Linked DNA regions of Drosophila melanogaster. The protein of the gene in region 3 interacts with the protein of the main gene of each other region in a pairwise test. Each region holds a gene or a part of one and is shown on either strand. Other genes may lie near its edges. The genes, in order: Taf10b, Taf10 and Taf3.

Region 1 (4,213 bases), on a different chromosome or scaffold from region 3:
GCTTGAAGGGCGGAACTGAGCTATTCTTCGTCACCTCGGCTGCCCAGGCGTTGTCGATTATCCTGCTGCACACCTTCTGGAGCGTTATTTTCTTCAACGCATTCGACACAAACAACTATATCCACATAGGCTATGTGGTTTTCAGCCACCTGTTCGTCTCCCTGATAACTCTGCTCAATGCCAATGAGCTTTACACGACCACTCTGCTGATAAACTACTTGGTCACCATACTTACGGGAGTCCTGGCCTTCCGGGTGGCTGGAGGAACATCTCGCAGTTTCAGAAAATTCATAACATGCCAGTAAACATACTCCTAGTATTAACCGCCTAGTTAATAGCTTTTGTATAACATTATAAAAAAAAACAAATTACCTTGTATATGCTCGATTAGTTACGCATTCTATGGACTTAAATCCCTTTACTAAATGGATTTCTTGAAAGAATGAGAATGCATTAAGATCCCAAGGTCTTTCGCAATAAATTCCCAAAACACAGATCTTAAGATACATTATTTTTAATGAGAAAAAAACTACTACAATGCATGCCATTATCTACTGACTATAGTCCACTTTCCTAACATTAATACCGTAGTCGGCCAAAGCCGGCTGCAGATCCTCCATGGTCAAGGTGAACTTGCGGTCCTTGGCCTTCGATCCTCCCGGTGTATTGGTGGTTTGCATATGGGTGCGCGCCTTGGAGTGCTGCAGTGCATCGTCGATGATGTCGGACATGTACTTCTGGGCGGCTAGGCTGATCAGCCGAACGATGCGCTTGTCGTCCGACTGAAAGCCTCCCATGTTGAGATAGTGCGAGGTGACCGCATCCGGAATCAATGGAGTATAATCTTCCAGCTGCGACATGAAGTCGCTGAGATGCGAAGATGGTGTGGTCCTATCCCGATCTCCACCGCCACCTCCTCCCGAGGATTGTCCATGACTGCTTGCGCCACCGGCGCTGTTGTGGTAAATAATTCCGAAATTGGAGCCCACCATCGAAAAAAGTGTACAATACAAATTAAACACAGTGCAGACGTAGTGATGGGAGATGCTAGTTATCGAATTATTCCGTATTGTTGCTGCCAGTGCTATCGATTCTTCTTACGGTTCGTCATCGATTACAATATAAACATACACACATATACACGCCAGCTGAGATAACAAATTTCTGGAAATAAACAATTAAAAAGTGGAAAACAATGGCTTCCGATGGCGAGGACATCAGTGTTACACCCGCAGAATCCGTAACATCGGCCACGGACACCGAGGAGGAGGATATAGACTCGCCACTAATGCAGTCCGAACTGCATTCCGACGAGGAGCAACCGGACGTGGAGGAGGTTCCTCTGACGACGGAGGAATCGGAGATGGATGAGCTGATAAAGCAGCTGGAGGACTACTCGCCCACCATACCAGACGCCCTCACCATGCACATCTTGAAAACGGTAGCTATATACCGGAAACTATTCTTTGTAGCATTTCTAATATTGGATTAAATCTGCAGGCTGGCTTCTGCACAGTGGACCCCAAGATAGTGCGCCTCGTCTCGGTGTCCGCGCAGAAGTTCATCTCGGATATTGCCAACGACGCACTGCAGCACTGCAAGACGCGCACCACGAACATCCAGCATTCCAGCGGACACAGTTCCAGCAAGGACAAGAAAAACCCCAAGGACAGGAAGTACACGCTGGCCATGGAGGACCTGGTGCCGGCACTCGCGGACCACGGCATCACCATGCGCAAGCCGCAGTATTTCGTTTAGATTTAGTTAAGCTCTAAAGTTTTGAATTGGGCACACAAATATAGCTAGTTTTCTTCAAGTTGTAAAAACATTTTAGCGAGGCACTTTCTTTATTAGACAAACTAGAAATTTGGAGCTACGATGTTAAAGAATTTGTTAGCCAACTCAATGCCGAAGAAGCAGGCAGCGTTGGCTGGGAAGGCTCGGAGCATGATGGGCGTCACGCCGCGGTACAAGGCCAGAGGTCCATCCTTGACAATCAGATCCTTGAAGACACTGCGTATGCCGTGCTTGTAGGTGCCTTCGGGAGCCGATTGTAGGCGGCTCTTTAACACGTCGGCTGGCATGCCCAGAATCCAGTAGGCCATGCCCGCCACTCCACCTGCGAAAATCGTTGAGGCAGTACTGATTTGTCCCGTCTCTGACTTCGACTTGGCCACATCCTGCAGCGCCTCGTAGACCAGGAAGTACAGCCCGTTGGCGGGCAAATCCCTGAGCATTGTGGCGCAGCTGCCCTTGAAAACGCTGCGAAGTCCACCCTCCTTGTATAGCTTGCCGGCGCAGTCGATCATGCCGTTGTACTTGCGCTCGCCACCCTGACCCTGCTGCGTCTGCAGGAGCACCTTGATGCGCTCGCCGGGTGCCATTATCAGGGTGGAGAACAGGCCGGAGAAGGAGCCGGCCACGAAGATTTGCGGGTAGGTCAGCTTGGCGTCCTCGCCGCGCTGCTGCAGCCGCTTGCCCAGCGCATAGCCGGCGAAGCACATCGCAAAGATCGGAGCAACGCCCGTCAACGGTGCGGACATGCCCTTGTACAGACCGCGGACGCCCTCATTTTTGATCGTCTTGGCCGCACAGTCGAAGGTGCCGCGGTACAGGGGCTGCTCACCCGGCGCCGGACGCGGCATGGTCTGCAGGCGCACCTTGATGGTGTCCAGCGGATGGCCAGAGAGCACATTGCAGATCCCACCGAATCCGCCGGTCAGGAAGGACTTCACTGGATTCGCTTTGCGCTCCGTGGACACGTTCTCCGTGGTGGTCATGGCTACAGGTTGCTATTGCTCTGCTCCTCCTTCACCTTCACCTTAACGGCCGGCAGCTGCTCGATTTCGGAACTAGTGTTGCTGTTTTCTGGCAAGTCAAGTGGATTATTGGAATTTGCACCTAGCCGATAGTTTCGAACTAATCTTGAGCATTCTATAGCGATAAGGAGCGCGGCAACATTACGTCACAAGCTGTTGATGTTCCCACAGATGCAGTGATTCTCCAGATAAAGATACTGGACTGCACTGATATCACAAAAATATTGCCACGGAGCAACTTGATCTTGCGATCAAAAGAGTAGTTTTTCTGGTTTGAAGATCTCTATGATTTCCATATGTTGCAGCAGGGTTCAAAGTCCACCTATGTGCACCTCCTTTGAATTGAATTTTCACTAGCCCTACAGCCCTAATTAATTAAAGCGATCTATGGCACTAAATACTTTTGCATTTCCCTGTAATAATTTGTTGATGTTTTTTTTAAATAATAAATAACATTATAGCGACGCAGGTGTGAGAGCATTCGAATACCCTAAATTTGCCGCTCTGTGTGAATTGTCTGAAAACCAAGTTGGCAGCGCTATTTCGATGTTCTTGTCAACCGGCCGGAATTTCTTTCGTGTTTTCAGGTGAGTTCGTGCGAAATTGGCTTAATTATCTAAAGTGCCGCGATTATATACTGTATTTACGCTGCAGCTCTCGCCAAATAGCAAGCTGCAGTGCTAGAATGGCAAGCGAAGTGGAAAAATCGCAAACGGCAGCCGCCAGTGAAGACACCATTTTCGGCAAGATTTTGCGCAAGGAGATCCCATGCAAATTTATCCACGAGGATGATAAAGTGAGATCGCAGTCCATTTGGTTGCTAGAAAAAGATGTTACCTATCGAATCTTTCACAGTGCGTTGCCTTCCACGATGTGGCGCCCCAGGCACCAACCCACTTCCTCGTGATTCCTCGCAAGCCAATTGCCCAACTCTCGCTAGCCGAGGATGGAGATGCCGATCTGCTGGGACATCTCATGCTGGTGGGCCGCAAGGTGGCCAAGGAGCTCGGCCTCGCGGATGGCTACCGCGTGGTCATCAACAATGGCAAGCACGGCGCCCAGTCAGTTTACCACTTGCATTTGCACTTCCTCGGCGGCCGCCAGATGCAGTGGCCACCAGGATAAGAAGCAGCCGATGGTGCAGCTACCAGATCCAAGATCATTTACACCACAGAGAATTTTTGAAATAAACTATGTGAAATGCTAAAACAAGTTACTTTAAATTCGCCATGTCCATAATTCCTAAAGAAAGCTTCGTTAGAAAAACGTAGTGCTACTTCATTTTTCCATAAATTTTATTAAAAAAATTGATGGGAAACTAAAAAATAAAAGGTCACAAGTGGCGGAAACTTAACAGTGGAAATTGCTCCTTGAACTCGATGACGCGGTTTAGG
Region 2 (4,447 bases), on a different chromosome or scaffold from region 3:
GAGCGCAAGTACAACGGCATGATCGACTGCGCCGGCAAGCTATACAAGGAGGGTGGACTTCGCAGCGTTTTCAAGGGCAGCTGCGCCACAATGCTCAGGGATTTGCCCGCCAACGGGCTGTACTTCCTGGTCTACGAGGCGCTGCAGGATGTGGCCAAGTCGAAGTCAGAGACGGGACAAATCAGTACTGCCTCAACGATTTTCGCAGGTGGAGTGGCGGGCATGGCCTACTGGATTCTGGGCATGCCAGCCGACGTGTTAAAGAGCCGCCTACAATCGGCTCCCGAAGGCACCTACAAGCACGGCATACGCAGTGTCTTCAAGGATCTGATTGTCAAGGATGGACCTCTGGCCTTGTACCGCGGCGTGACGCCCATCATGCTCCGAGCCTTCCCAGCCAACGCTGCCTGCTTCTTCGGCATTGAGTTGGCTAACAAATTCTTTAACATCGTAGCTCCAAATTTCTAGTTTGTCTAATAAAGAAAGTGCCTCGCTAAAATGTTTTTACAACTTGAAGAAAACTAGCTATATTTGTGTGCCCAATTCAAAACTTTAGAGCTTAACTAAATCTAAACGAAATACTGCGGCTTGCGCATGGTGATGCCGTGGTCCGCGAGTGCCGGCACCAGGTCCTCCATGGCCAGCGTGTACTTCCTGTCCTTGGGGTTTTTCTTGTCCTTGCTGGAACTGTGTCCGCTGGAATGCTGGATGTTCGTGGTGCGCGTCTTGCAGTGCTGCAGTGCGTCGTTGGCAATATCCGAGATGAACTTCTGCGCGGACACCGAGACGAGGCGCACTATCTTGGGGTCCACTGTGCAGAAGCCAGCCTGCAGATTTAATCCAATATTAGAAATGCTACAAAGAATAGTTTCCGGTATATAGCTACCGTTTTCAAGATGTGCATGGTGAGGGCGTCTGGTATGGTGGGCGAGTAGTCCTCCAGCTGCTTTATCAGCTCATCCATCTCCGATTCCTCCGTCGTCAGAGGAACCTCCTCCACGTCCGGTTGCTCCTCGTCGGAATGCAGTTCGGACTGCATTAGTGGCGAGTCTATATCCTCCTCCTCGGTGTCCGTGGCCGATGTTACGGATTCTGCGGGTGTAACACTGATGTCCTCGCCATCGGAAGCCATTGTTTTCCACTTTTTAATTGTTTATTTCCAGAAATTTGTTATCTCAGCTGGCGTGTATATGTGTGTATGTTTATATTGTAATCGATGACGAACCGTAAGAAGAATCGATAGCACTGGCAGCAACAATACGGAATAATTCGATAACTAGCATCTCCCATCACTACGTCTGCACTGTGTTTAATTTGTATTGTACACTTTTTTCGATGGTGGGCTCCAATTTCGGAATTATTTACCACAACAGCGCCGGTGGCGCAAGCAGTCATGGACAATCCTCGGGAGGAGGTGGCGGTGGAGATCGGGATAGGACCACACCATCTTCGCATCTCAGCGACTTCATGTCGCAGCTGGAAGATTATACTCCATTGATTCCGGATGCGGTCACCTCGCACTATCTCAACATGGGAGGCTTTCAGTCGGACGACAAGCGCATCGTTCGGCTGATCAGCCTAGCCGCCCAGAAGTACATGTCCGACATCATCGACGATGCACTGCAGCACTCCAAGGCGCGCACCCATATGCAAACCACCAATACACCGGGAGGATCGAAGGCCAAGGACCGCAAGTTCACCTTGACCATGGAGGATCTGCAGCCGGCTTTGGCCGACTACGGTATTAATGTTAGGAAAGTGGACTATAGTCAGTAGATAATGGCATGCATTGTAGTAGTTTTTTTCTCATTAAAAATAATGTATCTTAAGATCTGTGTTTTGGGAATTTATTGCGAAAGACCTTGGGATCTTAATGCATTCTCATTCTTTCAAGAAATCCATTTAGTAAAGGGATTTAAGTCCATAGAATGCGTAACTAATCGAGCATATACAAGGTAATTTGTTTTTTTTTATAATGTTATACAAAAGCTATTAACTAGGCGGTTAATACTAGGAGTATGTTTACTGGCATGTTATGAATTTTCTGAAACTGCGAGATGTTCCTCCAGCCACCCGGAAGGCCAGGACTCCCGTAAGTATGGTGACCAAGTAGTTTATCAGCAGAGTGGTCGTGTAAAGCTCATTGGCATTGAGCAGAGTTATCAGGGAGACGAACAGGTGGCTGAAAACCACATAGCCTATGTGGATATAGTTGTTTGTGTCGAATGCGTTGAAGAAAATAACGCTCCAGAAGGTGTGCAGCAGGATAATCGACAACGCCTGGGCAGCCGAGGTGACGAAGAATAGCTCAGTTCCGCCCTTCAAGCCCATGGTGCCGGGACCACTCTAAAAACCAAAAGATCTGTCATTGCTCGGAGCACATTACGCACCTTTGCTGCACTCACCATATCAGCCAGCACATTGACCAGTGCAAACATCCCGGATATAATGCCGAATCCCAAGCCGGAGACATAGGCCAGGATGTGCTTGTTGTCCGTCACTCGCGTGTCCTCCGCCACGGCGTGCAATCCCTGCTCCGTGCTGCGCAGTATCCGGTAGATGATGTACCGGAAGGCTTCCTGGAAGCACACCGAGAAGACCACGCCAAATGCCAGGAACTCCTTCAGCGGAATCAGGGCATACCACAGGGAAGAGATCAGCAGGGAAAGCAGCCAGAAGAATGCCGCCGCAATCAGAATGATGATCCGCACTGGATCATTGGCGATGGTGAAGACGAACAAGGCGAAGGGCGGTCCGAAGGCGATGAAGGTGCAGCCAAAGAACTCGGGCAACGTCATCTTGTCTTTGTATTATTACTGTTTTTTCTTTTGCTCTGTGGGTGTTTTGGTTTACTTGGGAAGAGGAAGCAGAGACTCGCATAGAGTTGCCAGACTTTTGCAGTGCCATTCGGGCTGCCACACTGTACGTTTTAGTAGTGTACATACCCTACACAGATGAGTACATTAGCTTGTGCGTCACGCAAAAGTATACAAATTATTTAAACTGCGAGAATTATCCAAACAAATGGGAATCTTTTAATCTTAACTTAATTGCCTAATTACCTATCCTTTGCTTTAATTTGTATATAAAAACCAAATCCAGCCTTTAAAAGTAATATCTACTGAACTACAGAAAGGGTATATTAGGACCGCTTTTGAAGATACATTTTTGAAAGCTGCCAGACTGCAGAGCACTAATGTCTTCATACCCTACTATATAAAGTCTGTTAATTCAAAAATAACTTGTTGCTAAAGTACACGATATGTATTAGAGCTCATAAAAATTGTAGCCTACTAAATCATTATACAATTTATAGAAATATTTAATATTATTCAAAAATTTAGAATATAGTTATTCTAAATGTTCCCTAAGAGCCATACCCGCGTAGGGTGTTACAGAGGCCGCCTATGCGGGATTCACACGCACAAAACAAAGGCCTCCGTCCCACTTGCAATGTTTTTGTTTGGGGCGGAATTAGTCACTGTAAATTGACTCAACAACTATGCCAACCGCATAATCCGCCGTAAACCAGAAGCGAATTGCAAGTGCCCAGCTGCGGATCGAAAACAGCAGCCCAGCGAGAAATCACAAAGAGATTCATAGAACCCGTATGCCCAGTGAGCACAGTGAAACCTCCAATTAGCAGTTCGTCGTTCATTTGGTTTCGTTTTTTCTTTTACCCCAGTTCACGCCGTGATGGCCAAGCGCCTGCACCACCAGCCTACCTTCGATGGGGATCCACCCGGTCCGGATGAGCTGGACAGTCCAGCCATCGAGGCGGCGGCCCTCGACATTCCCCCTCCCGAATCCGATAAGGCGCTCCAAAAAGGTTTGTGTAACCATTATCTCACACTCGCAAAATATGTAGGTACAGTGGATAATCTCTAAGGCGAATATTGTCTGTATCTTCTTAGGTGTCTGGGAGCGAGCCACAAGTGCTGAGTATAAGCCGACCACGGATGGGAGCACCGTGCTCCGCTTTGACATCTTGCTGGCCCACATAATGCCGCCCGATGGCGAGGATGTGAAGATCAAGCGGTTCGTGGTCTATGAGCTCACTGTTAAGCAGGATGGAGCCACGGAGGACACTCAGCCGGCAAAGATTGAGCGCCGATACACCGACTTTCGGGAGCTTTATCTGGGCCTTAAGCGGCAGCATCCGGCGGAGATGGCCAACAAGTACTTCCCAGCCAAGGTCCTGATGGGTAACTTCAAGTCCGAGCTGATCGGCGAACGGAGTGCAGCCTTCGAGGCATTCCTCACGTATGTGGCAAGCCAGGCGATGCTCCGGGACTCGGAGTACTTCCTGCGCTTCCTGCAGCACGACGAACTGACCAGGGCGTGCCAGTTTCTGGATGAGCGGCGTAACGAAATGGCCATACCTATTCTGGAGAACTGTTTCCGCTTGCTGAACAAGATATACATGAATCGATCGAGGCCGGTGCTT
Region 3 (9,483 bases):
AAATACGTAAAAATATTATATATGAAATAAATATATAGCCTAAAGGCCTATTTAATTGAAAAAAATTTCTTACCTTTAATTTGCCAATTTCAGTGCGGAGAAGTATAATTTTAGTCTCGCCATTGACTAATGAATCTCTTATGTTATAGATTTCGTTTTGAAGATTTATAAGGGTATCGTCGAAACTGTTTAATGAATTATTTTCTCTAAATGCCCTCGATCGCATACCCAATGATGTTTTTCGAATCTAAAAAGTGTTTGACATACATACATACATATGTGGGTACATACATGCATTCATGTACACATTTGAAAACAATAGGAGATGCATAGGTATCTCGCATGTTTATTTTAAATTTTAATCAATGTGAATAACCGCATCTATTTGAAACTAGGCATACATACATTCAGCTCAAAGAAGCTGGGGTCGGAAAATCCAATTTTTAATATGTATGTACAGACATACATATGTACATAGATCGCGATCCGTTACGTGTTTTTTCCAATATTTACATAACGATAATCATTCGCTTCCACAATTTTCTTGAACTTGGATATGTATATACATGTTCATCATCATCATATAAGTACATATGTGAATTTGTCCGCCGATCCTAAAACATGCGAATTGGCGCCACAACTTACAATTATTACATACATATGTAGAAATTTAGTTTTAATAGGTGGGAACACAAAAAAACAAAATTTTTAAGGGTTGGACAAACGTTTTTAATTCAAAATACTTATTTTAAAGGATGGGAAAACGAAAAAAACTAATTTTAAAGGATGGACAAACGATAAAAACTAAGAATACTGATTGGGCAAAAGTTTTTTTTTATAATATTTAGTTTTAAGAGATGGTCAAAATAATAATACCGAGGTTAACTAGAACGTCTCATATTTTCTAAAGTATTCACTTTTTCAAAATTGAAAAGAGTGGCCAAACGTGGGCAAATAAAGACAACAAATGAGCAAACGATTCCAGCTTTTAAATTTCAAAAATTCCATTTTTTCGACTCCAGCTTCTTTGAGCTCGTACATTATGCGCAAAATGAGAAATCTGCGCACTGAAGTGTATTCGTGTTTTTGCTAGTGGTTGATTGATTTTTTGTGACCGTATGAATATTGAGGGTGCGTCGTCGTTGGAGCAAGCGTCGCAACGGCATGAAACAAACTCTTACAGACTCTGTGACTGAGTCTTAATGCTTAATATCAATATTCTAGTTTTCATTGTTCCCGAGATCACAGCGTTCAGATTGATAGTCAGACGGACTAACCAGTTACTCGATAACTGACCGACTGCATATGAAATCTTCAGTATATGTAAGGAAATACGATACCTATACACCTATTATGGTTAACATAGGTGTAAACGTGTATTCGTTGGGAATCAGATTATCCACCCTTACCTGATTCTTAAGAGTTTCGTCAATGTGAATGGTAGACGTCTTCCGAATCATGTCATGAGAATATTTAAAGTTAACGGGTCCTAAGATCCCGCTCTCTATGAAAAAATGTTTTGCTTTATCAATGCTCGAGTTCAATGGTTGCATTTTTTAGTTCTTATTAGATTAAAAAAGGAGTAAAACGTTGGTCAGATCAATGTTGATGGAGATCTTCTTACTCATTTATACTGAGTATTTCAATAACTAGCTGAAAAGTTTAAAGGATTTGAGCTTTAAGTAGAATAAAACTTTTTATTAGACTTACACATATACCCAACACATGCAAATGTTCATATAGTTGTTTTATTTGTTAATTTTTATATTTTACATTATTACAAATACAAAATATTAAGTGCCGAAGATCTGTCGCACGCTTCTTTGTGTGAATACTCGACTAGAACATATATGGGAAACAATACCTAACCCAATAAATGTCTTAAGATATAAGTTTCTTCTAAACTGATCGAAAATATAACTAGTATTCTATCAGTAGTTTTGTGTCATTATACATTATACCCTCTTTCCACTAAATTACCTGCATATATACACATGTTTGGGATATAGTTCACATGATATTTTTGAAGCGATTTTAGGCTTAATGTTATTTTATTAAATTTATATTTATATATATTATTTATATTTATAATTATATTATTATTTATTCGGTAATTTCATAGCTGTTCTGGGCATTACTTTCTTTCCACAATAAACATAACATTAGATGCTGTTAAAATTTGTAGTAAGTAATCGTAGTAATAATAGTAATAGTAGTAGTAAAACTAAAACATTTTTACGGGTAACAACACAAGACTCTCGTTTCACTCTGCATTCAAGCGCTCTATTATTAAACAAGCTCTAATTATATTTCCATCGTTCAATATCTATTTTAAAGAATAGAAGGATTAGAAAACTTTTTCGTCTTATTTTCAAAATTTGTGTCTTATTCGAACACTAACAGCGAACATACCGAAAGCAAACCTTTTATCTGCCCTTATAACCACTTTCAAACCACATAAAAAATTGCAGTTTGTTTATGTTGGTCAATCAATTGAATTTGATTGAACCCCATGATTACCACTTTTGGCATACCCCAAATATCGATATATTTCCCATCAAAGGCAAAATCGATAAGTTATCGTTAACTAAACATCCACAGATTGTAGTTCGTCTAATAAAGGTGTAGACACCAAGTCAATTAATTTTAATAACAAGAGGAAGTTCGTGGGACGGTTAAACCTATTCACAGCATTTCCAAGGTTTTCTAAAGAAGGTGTACCTCATGAAAGAACATGATGGCAGACAGATACGCTTCAGATTTGGCCCTTGTTGTCGTTGCGCAGATAACGCAAACTATTGGTTACAGCTGCACTCTAAGTGCACCCTTGGAGTTGTTGCAAGACATATTGCAGAAGTTTGTACAGGAGTTCGCTCGAGACATGCATAGACATATGGAACACGGTAAGTGGTATAGACCCTCAAATCAACGGAACCGATCATGAAATACAACAAAGCCTGAGTAGTTATAGTCGTTACTTGTAGAATAAGAGATTCAATAAAAAGTATGTGACATATATGTACATGTACATAAATGTATAACTTATCATCCCTGCAGTTCCATCAGACTATCATTAATAAATCATTATTTATCATTAAAACAATTTTGTTTGGAGTTAGGGCATTTTGCTTTCAGTTGCGTTAGAATACCGGTCAACCTGTCCGTTTAACCTTAAAGTAAAATATATTAGTATAATGTGTACAGAAATGTATTACGAAAAATGTACATCGCTTCTGCGAGTAGTACGTGTTGTTGCGTGTAAAATGAATCCATTGCCATTGGAATTTCCTGATTAAGCTCGCGCCTGCTACTCGCATAAATCTAGTCCCAGTTATCCGCGAAAAAGGAAGCGTGCCTCTTAGAAAAGTAATCTTTTAATTTATTTCTTTCTTTTATTGTTATTTCCCTTTTCCTCGCCCAGTCCCTTTCACCTACATCAGTATATAATTTCTCTAGTTCCGATGCGCATTAAAAATTTAAAGTTTCTTACGAAACTTATGTGCTCGGCGACTTAGAGCGTCAGCTTAGCATTCGGCTGGAAATAAAAGATCCATAATTTATTGCTGATTCCCTGCTTGTGGCTGTGCAGCCAAAGCAGTTGGTACTGTGGGCGAAACCGATGATCTTGGGATGTTTTTAAGGAGCGATGAATTGTGGGACTGCCGGGGTCTCGATTGGGGATTATGAAACCTCAATAGGCATGTAGATTGTATTTTTTGCAAATTATTATTTCATTAATTGTCTTGTAAACACCAAAAAAAAAAAAACAATAAATCTTTGATTTATATATATCTTAGATTAAGATATATCTTAGATTAAGATATATTTTAGATTAAGATATATCTTAGATTAAGATATATCTTCCTTGTAACCACCGGAACAGAAATAAAAATAAATAGTTGAGGAACTCGACTAAAGCGTTCTCTTATATTTTCTTTTTAATTTTGCTTGGTATGTTACTTAATAACGTTATTTATATGAGTTCAAAAAAATCTTATTAAAACCAAACAAAAAATCAAAAATGCTTTGTTTATTTGGATAAAATTTATAAAAATATTAATTGACAAGTATATATATTACTAATTTAGCAAATCGGATAGAGCCGAACCTTAAGGATGCACGCTTAAGTATAAAAAATCTCAGCATCAATGTTCAAGAACTATTGGACTACATAGGTAATGTCGAGCCTGTTGGATTCATCCGGGATGTACCACAGTTTCCCATTGGAAAATCTGTAAACATGAACTTCCTTAAGCCTGGAAGCGCTGAAACTCTAACGCGACCTGTCTACATATTTGAATACTTGCCACCAATGCAGGACCCCGAACTTCGTGAAATTCCAGCCGATGTTCAAAAGGAATTTTCGGAAAAGCAAGAGTTTTGTTCAAAAGCAGAGTATAGTTCAACAAACGCAGCTGATAAGTTAGGCGCCAAGCACATTGATTCTATCTCTCCTAATACTGTGATAAATTTCCGGTCGAATGCCTTTGAATTGGACGTTGGGAGCTCAGTCCGCGAAATGAGCAGCGTGGTAATGACAACAGGGGGATTCATAAGTCCAGCTATTGAAGGCAAGCTCCCCGAAGATATCATACCGGATATAGTTGGTACGACCTATCCTTATACCACAGCTTAATAAATTTTCATGTATCGGTGTTTATAGAAAAATTTTTAGGTTTGGATGCACCCTTTTCACCGACGATAATTGTAAATTCGTTACAAAAATCTCCACAACTGGCGCTTTCTGACAGAGACAAAACAGTAAATCCACGAAAAATCATTCCCTCAGAAACTAAAATCTTCAAACAAAATGCTGCATTATTGACAAGTGGACATTCAGAGTCTTCAATAATATATGCGTCTAACAACCATACGATGCTAACTGTTACAACACCTAAGAAGAATAGAAAACAGAAACATGATTTAATATGCGAACCCGGTCAAAGCGAACTTCTAACTAATCCGTTTGAAAAAGCTCAGGAAAAGTCACAGAGAAAAGCTTTAAAAATGTATAAACAAACCTCAAAGAACCAAAGAGACAGCTCAATTAATCAAATACAAAACATGAAAAAGTTAAAAAAAAAATTTAACCGCGGATCCTTCGATCCAAATAAAAAACATTTAGAAAAAATATTTAAGAAGCAGTCCAAACTTAAGCAAAATGATCTTCAACTGGACATCGACGAAAAACACTTTTTGCAGAATTCTCAAACTACGAGCGGCCTTGCCATAAAAGCTAACTCAAATGAAAATGCTTTACAAGCTGATATCCCTAGTCAGCCGCCAACAGTAACAAGCCAGATTGAAAATAATTTTCGAAATTCAATTTATCCAGTGCAGCCATCTGTAATTCAACAAACGCAAGTGCTATTGGCAGAAAAAAAAAGTGGATCAGAACCAGAACGAAGTAAATTGGACATTTTTAAGAAAATTTCTAAGCCACGTACTCCACGTCCAGATATTGGGGCGACTTTAGTACCTCCTGGAACCGGGGTATCTGTATTTGGAAGCACAATGACCCCTTCAGCATTAATTAGTCTTCCATCGGGGACTACTATAACTCCTACACCTTCACTTGGTCTAAATTCTGAAAACAAAAACGTTCCGAGTATGAAAATCAACCCTTGCAATATATTCGATGGAACTATACCTTTAACTAAAGCAGGCGTTGAAATGTCAATTATTGATTCGCCAAAGCCAAAAAAGCGAGGTCGCAAACCTGGAGGAAAAAATGTAATAAAACAAACAAATGTTGTATCGCAACCTTTAATTAATAAGGTCGAACGGAAAAAGTCAAGCCAAGCTATTACACTGCCTCTATCATCATCTCCAATGATAATAACCCAAAGTTCTTTAAACGTCTCCCCGCCAACAGAACCTCTCAACTTGTGTAATACCGAACAGCCCTCGAATAATTTTTTGTCAAACCTGTATGCAAAAGAAAAAAAGGACAGAAAAAAGTACAAATCATTACCAGAAAATGTAATGCAATTAGACAAGAGCTGTTCTCCTGAAAAGGCATCAACACTACATAATTCTATTCGACCCACAAAACAAAATAATGATGTACAATGTTCAGATAAATTTGTGACTATATCCAATGCTTTGTCAAATGCATCAATTTACCCTGGAATTCAAACAGGAATGGTTCCGTTGCTTCCTTTATTGCAATTTCCACCACGACCTGGTCTTATTCCTACTGGACCTGGGCTTTTTCCTGCAGTCACTGGTTTAGTTGGCTTCGGGAATCACGGTAACAGAATACCTATTTCGCCGTTCATAGATTATCCTGGACCAGAAGAATCAGTTGCGGATACTGTTCGATGTCCACCAATTAAGGATTCTCCTGGTACGTCAAATGAGTTATTTTTATACGCATTGCTCGTAGTATATATACGTAGTATATATTTTCGTGACCAGGATCAATAGCCGAGTGGATCTGATCCTGTCCTGTCCGTCCGTATGAACGTCGAGATCTCATGAACTATAAAAAGCTAGTAGGTTGAGATTAAGCATAAAGATTCTAGAGACATAAACCCAGCTGAAGTTTGTTGACCCAAACTTTACTTTACCATACCAGTTCGAGTATCACAGCTCGAAGAATATATTGCTTACATAAAAGTCTCGGCAATATCTTAATTCATTACAGCAAAAATACTAATCTGAAACTAATCATTGAACCGTTGAATGTAGAAAATAGGTATAGGTACACACTCAAGAAGTGGTATTGGGAAGCTTCTAGATGGGTTAGTATGAAATATTTGCGTTTGTCATAAACTAGATATTTGGAGGAGCTCAAATTTTTTTTTTATATTGACAATACGTACCTACCTACAATATGTGAATTATTTGTCGACCAAAATATTTAAATATTTATAATGATTAGAAAAAATAATTTTTAGTTACTGATTCTGATCAATTTCTGAGCCGATCTTCCACGCAAACTGACTTGCAAATGGATCGAAACTACTGCAATGTTGCTCCATTAGTACCTGACTCAATGAAATTCGCCGAGTGTAAGTTTAACGGTAAATATATTTGTAATTTAAAAATAACTTATTACTTATATCTGTAGGTAAAAGCGTATCTTGTGCCAGCACAATATTGGAAAACCCATCTGCACAGGCTACAAGCAAAATAAACACGAAACCGCTTTTGGAGGCTTCTGGAAATCCTGATGATCCAATAGAGGTTTCAGATGATTCAGATGAATCAATGCACAACAGGCAGATGGTTCAAAGAAAAACCCCAATATCATCACCAACTTATGTTAAAACCAGCTTCGCAGAACTAAATCCCTCCTCGTTTACGTCAGCTGCATCTAATGGTGAAGAAAAATCCAAAATGGATCTAAGGAATATTGTGTCTCTAAGCTCTAACGAACCACTTAAAAAATTTAAAAAACTTGTTAAACAGAGTTTTCCCGATGTAAAAAGCGTACCCCACACGCCAGCTTCACATTCATCATTTCCACAATTTAACTTGCCTAATTTTATGGGAGGTGACAAATTCAGTTTAGCTGGGGGAGCAGATCTTATTCCTCTGTCGAGAGTGAGTGATTCGGAATATTCCTCCAAAATAGTACCATTCAGTAGCTTAGGTGGAACCATACCGAATCAAATCAAAATTTCAGAAGAGCACAATATTTTTTCTACCTTTTCTAACTACGAAGATATTACAATAACACCAACTGGATTAACGTCGTTGGAACCGAAAATGCGGAAACATCACAAAAAGCTAAAAAAGGTTAAAGAAGGGAAAAATAAAAAAAAGAAAGAGAAAAAGGACAAATCAAAGAAAGCGGATCAGATTGGCTTACCATCTTTCAAATCCGACCGGAAAATAAAGGCCAATGATAAAAGGCAAAAAAAAGAAAAGAAAAAGGATAAAGATAAGCAGGTTTGTGTCAATTCTTTATTTATAAAAAAATAGGTGTTCGTGTTGTGGTATTTGGATCAGATATGTAGATACGCCGGAGCTGATAAGCAACCTTTGCGATAAGTACGTACACAAACTCATTTGAAAACAGCAAGTTATGTGGGAAACATTTTTAAAATCATGAATTCTGTGAACATATTCCGTATAATAACATTAAATTATGCATTATGCATTATACATTATACATTATGTTCCAAATTTGTATTAATACTTATATAGACTGTTGTGACTAATTATAACATCGAAGCCTACAGCTTGGTATAGGTACAAAAACATCTTAATCCTACATAAACATGTAAAGCAGCCAAATCTTTTAAAGTTATATTTTTAGTTCTTACAAATTTTATTTTAGTCTATACACATATCTCAGCAAAATCTTTTAAAGTTAAATTTATAGTTTAATCAATTCTTATTTTAGATTTTAGTCCATATACCAGATGACACAGAAGAATTTGACAAGGTGCCTTTAGCTAACAACGATGAACCTGTATTGAAATCAAGTTCCATGACAATAAATCCATCGTTAGGTGCCGCCACAAGTGGAATATCTCCAAATCAAATACCAAAACTAACACTAAAACTTAGTGGAAAATCTACATTATTTTCGTCTTCAGAAAAGGAGATGACAGATGCAGGGAAACTAAAGCAAACCACGATTTTGTCTTCAGAAAATAAGAAGCGTGAACGGGATAATTCTCCGGAGCTTGCTCGTTTTTCTCCATTGGTTACCGGCCCGCCTAAGAACAAACAATGTAGGCGAAGTTATTATTCGATAATTTATATACATTTTAAAATAACTGTTATTCCAGCTGAAACACTGCATTTAGGAAACAGTTCTACGGCCGTGTTGCCTGTACCTTCCCCAGTAGCTGTGCGCGCCGTGCAACTTCCTGTTAGTCAAACCTCATCTAATTCTGCAGGGTGGTTATCAAACCCTAATAACAGTAATACTGCCTCTTCCACGCTTTCGGCTAGTTCAGTTTTGTTACCACAACAATTGATGTTGGCGCCTCATACGATAATGAACAACTTTGTACCAGCAATGTGCAACAGTACAGGAACAGTGTCAAAAAGTGGATTATGTAGTTCTCCACCAAATACATCCGAGGAAAATGCAAATGCAATGCAAATTGCTGAATCAAGTCGTCCATCGTCATATGTTGACGCTGAGGGTAACCGCATTTGGATTTGCCCCGCTTGTGGAAAGGTCGACGATGGATCAGCTATGATTGGTTGTGACGGCTGCGACGCTTGGTATCATTGGTATAATTGTGCTGAACCAACTGTATACTACAATTTACTTAAAAAAAAACTTTTACTTTAGGATTTGTGTTGGTATAACCTTTGCACCGAAGGACAACGACGATTGGTTCTGTCGCGTTTGCGTAACAAAAAAAAGAATTCACGGCTCTGAAAAAAAAAAGAGACGAAACAAGAAAAAGTGAATTCTAATTATTTCGAGTCAACTTTGATTATCACAGCTTAATTATTCTTTCAGTTTATGTTCATATGTTACTTGACAACCCATAAATTTCTTGGTCGAGT

What was found.
Region 1: the proteins of Taf3 (region 3) and Taf10b interact in a two-hybrid assay, tested with the Drosophila melanogaster proteins (one study listed by BioGRID).
Region 2: the proteins of Taf3 (region 3) and Taf10 interact in a two-hybrid assay, tested with the Drosophila melanogaster proteins (one study listed by BioGRID).

What each region holds. Positions count from the first base shown.
Region 1 is NT_033779.5:2,766,786-2,770,998, forward strand, and holds Taf10b (TBP-associated factor 10b), read right to left. Parts: upstream 1,061-4,213; 5' UTR 993-1,060; coding exon 552-992; 3' UTR 501-551; downstream 1-500. Other genes in the region: aph-1 (anterior pharynx defective 1), read left to right, coding at 1-305; Taf10 (TBP-associated factor 10), read left to right, coding at 1,196-1,441, 1,501-1,758; colt (congested-like trachea), read right to left, coding at 1,860-2,780; HINT1 (histidine triad nucleotide binding protein 1), read left to right, coding at 3,366-3,406, 3,474-3,615, 3,675-3,944; CG15399 (uncharacterized protein), read right to left, coding at 4,153-4,213. UniProt on the Drosophila melanogaster protein: TFIID is a multimeric protein complex that plays a central role in mediating promoter responses to various activators and repressors.
Region 2 is NT_033779.5:2,764,666-2,769,112, reverse strand, and holds Taf10 (TBP-associated factor 10), read right to left. Parts: upstream 1,224-4,447; 5' UTR 1,133-1,223; coding exon 887-1,132; intron 828-886; coding exon 570-827; 3' UTR 501-569; downstream 1-500. Other genes in the region: colt (congested-like trachea), read left to right, coding at 1-468; Taf10b (TBP-associated factor 10b), read left to right, coding at 1,336-1,776; aph-1 (anterior pharynx defective 1), read right to left, coding at 2,023-2,346, 2,406-2,798; Snx21 (sorting nexin 21), read left to right, coding at 3,611-3,617, 3,686-3,829, 3,915-4,447. UniProt on the Drosophila melanogaster protein: TFIID is a multimeric protein complex that plays a central role in mediating promoter responses to various activators and repressors.
Region 3 is NC_004353.4:459,921-469,403, reverse strand, and holds the start of Taf3 (TBP-associated factor 3), read left to right. Parts: upstream 1-2,575; 5' UTR 2,576-2,734; coding exon 2,735-2,903; intron 2,904-4,088; coding exon 4,089-4,607; intron 4,608-4,663; coding exon 4,664-6,349; intron 6,350-6,902; coding exon 6,903-7,016; intron 7,017-7,075; coding exon 7,076-7,899; intron 7,900-7,990; exon of another isoform or gene 7,991-8,356; coding exon 8,357-8,690; exon of another isoform or gene 8,691-8,747; coding exon 8,748-9,201; exon of another isoform or gene 9,202-9,262; coding exon 9,263-9,383; 3' UTR 9,384-9,483. Other genes in the region: CG33941 (uncharacterized protein), read right to left, coding at 74-247, 1,410-1,553.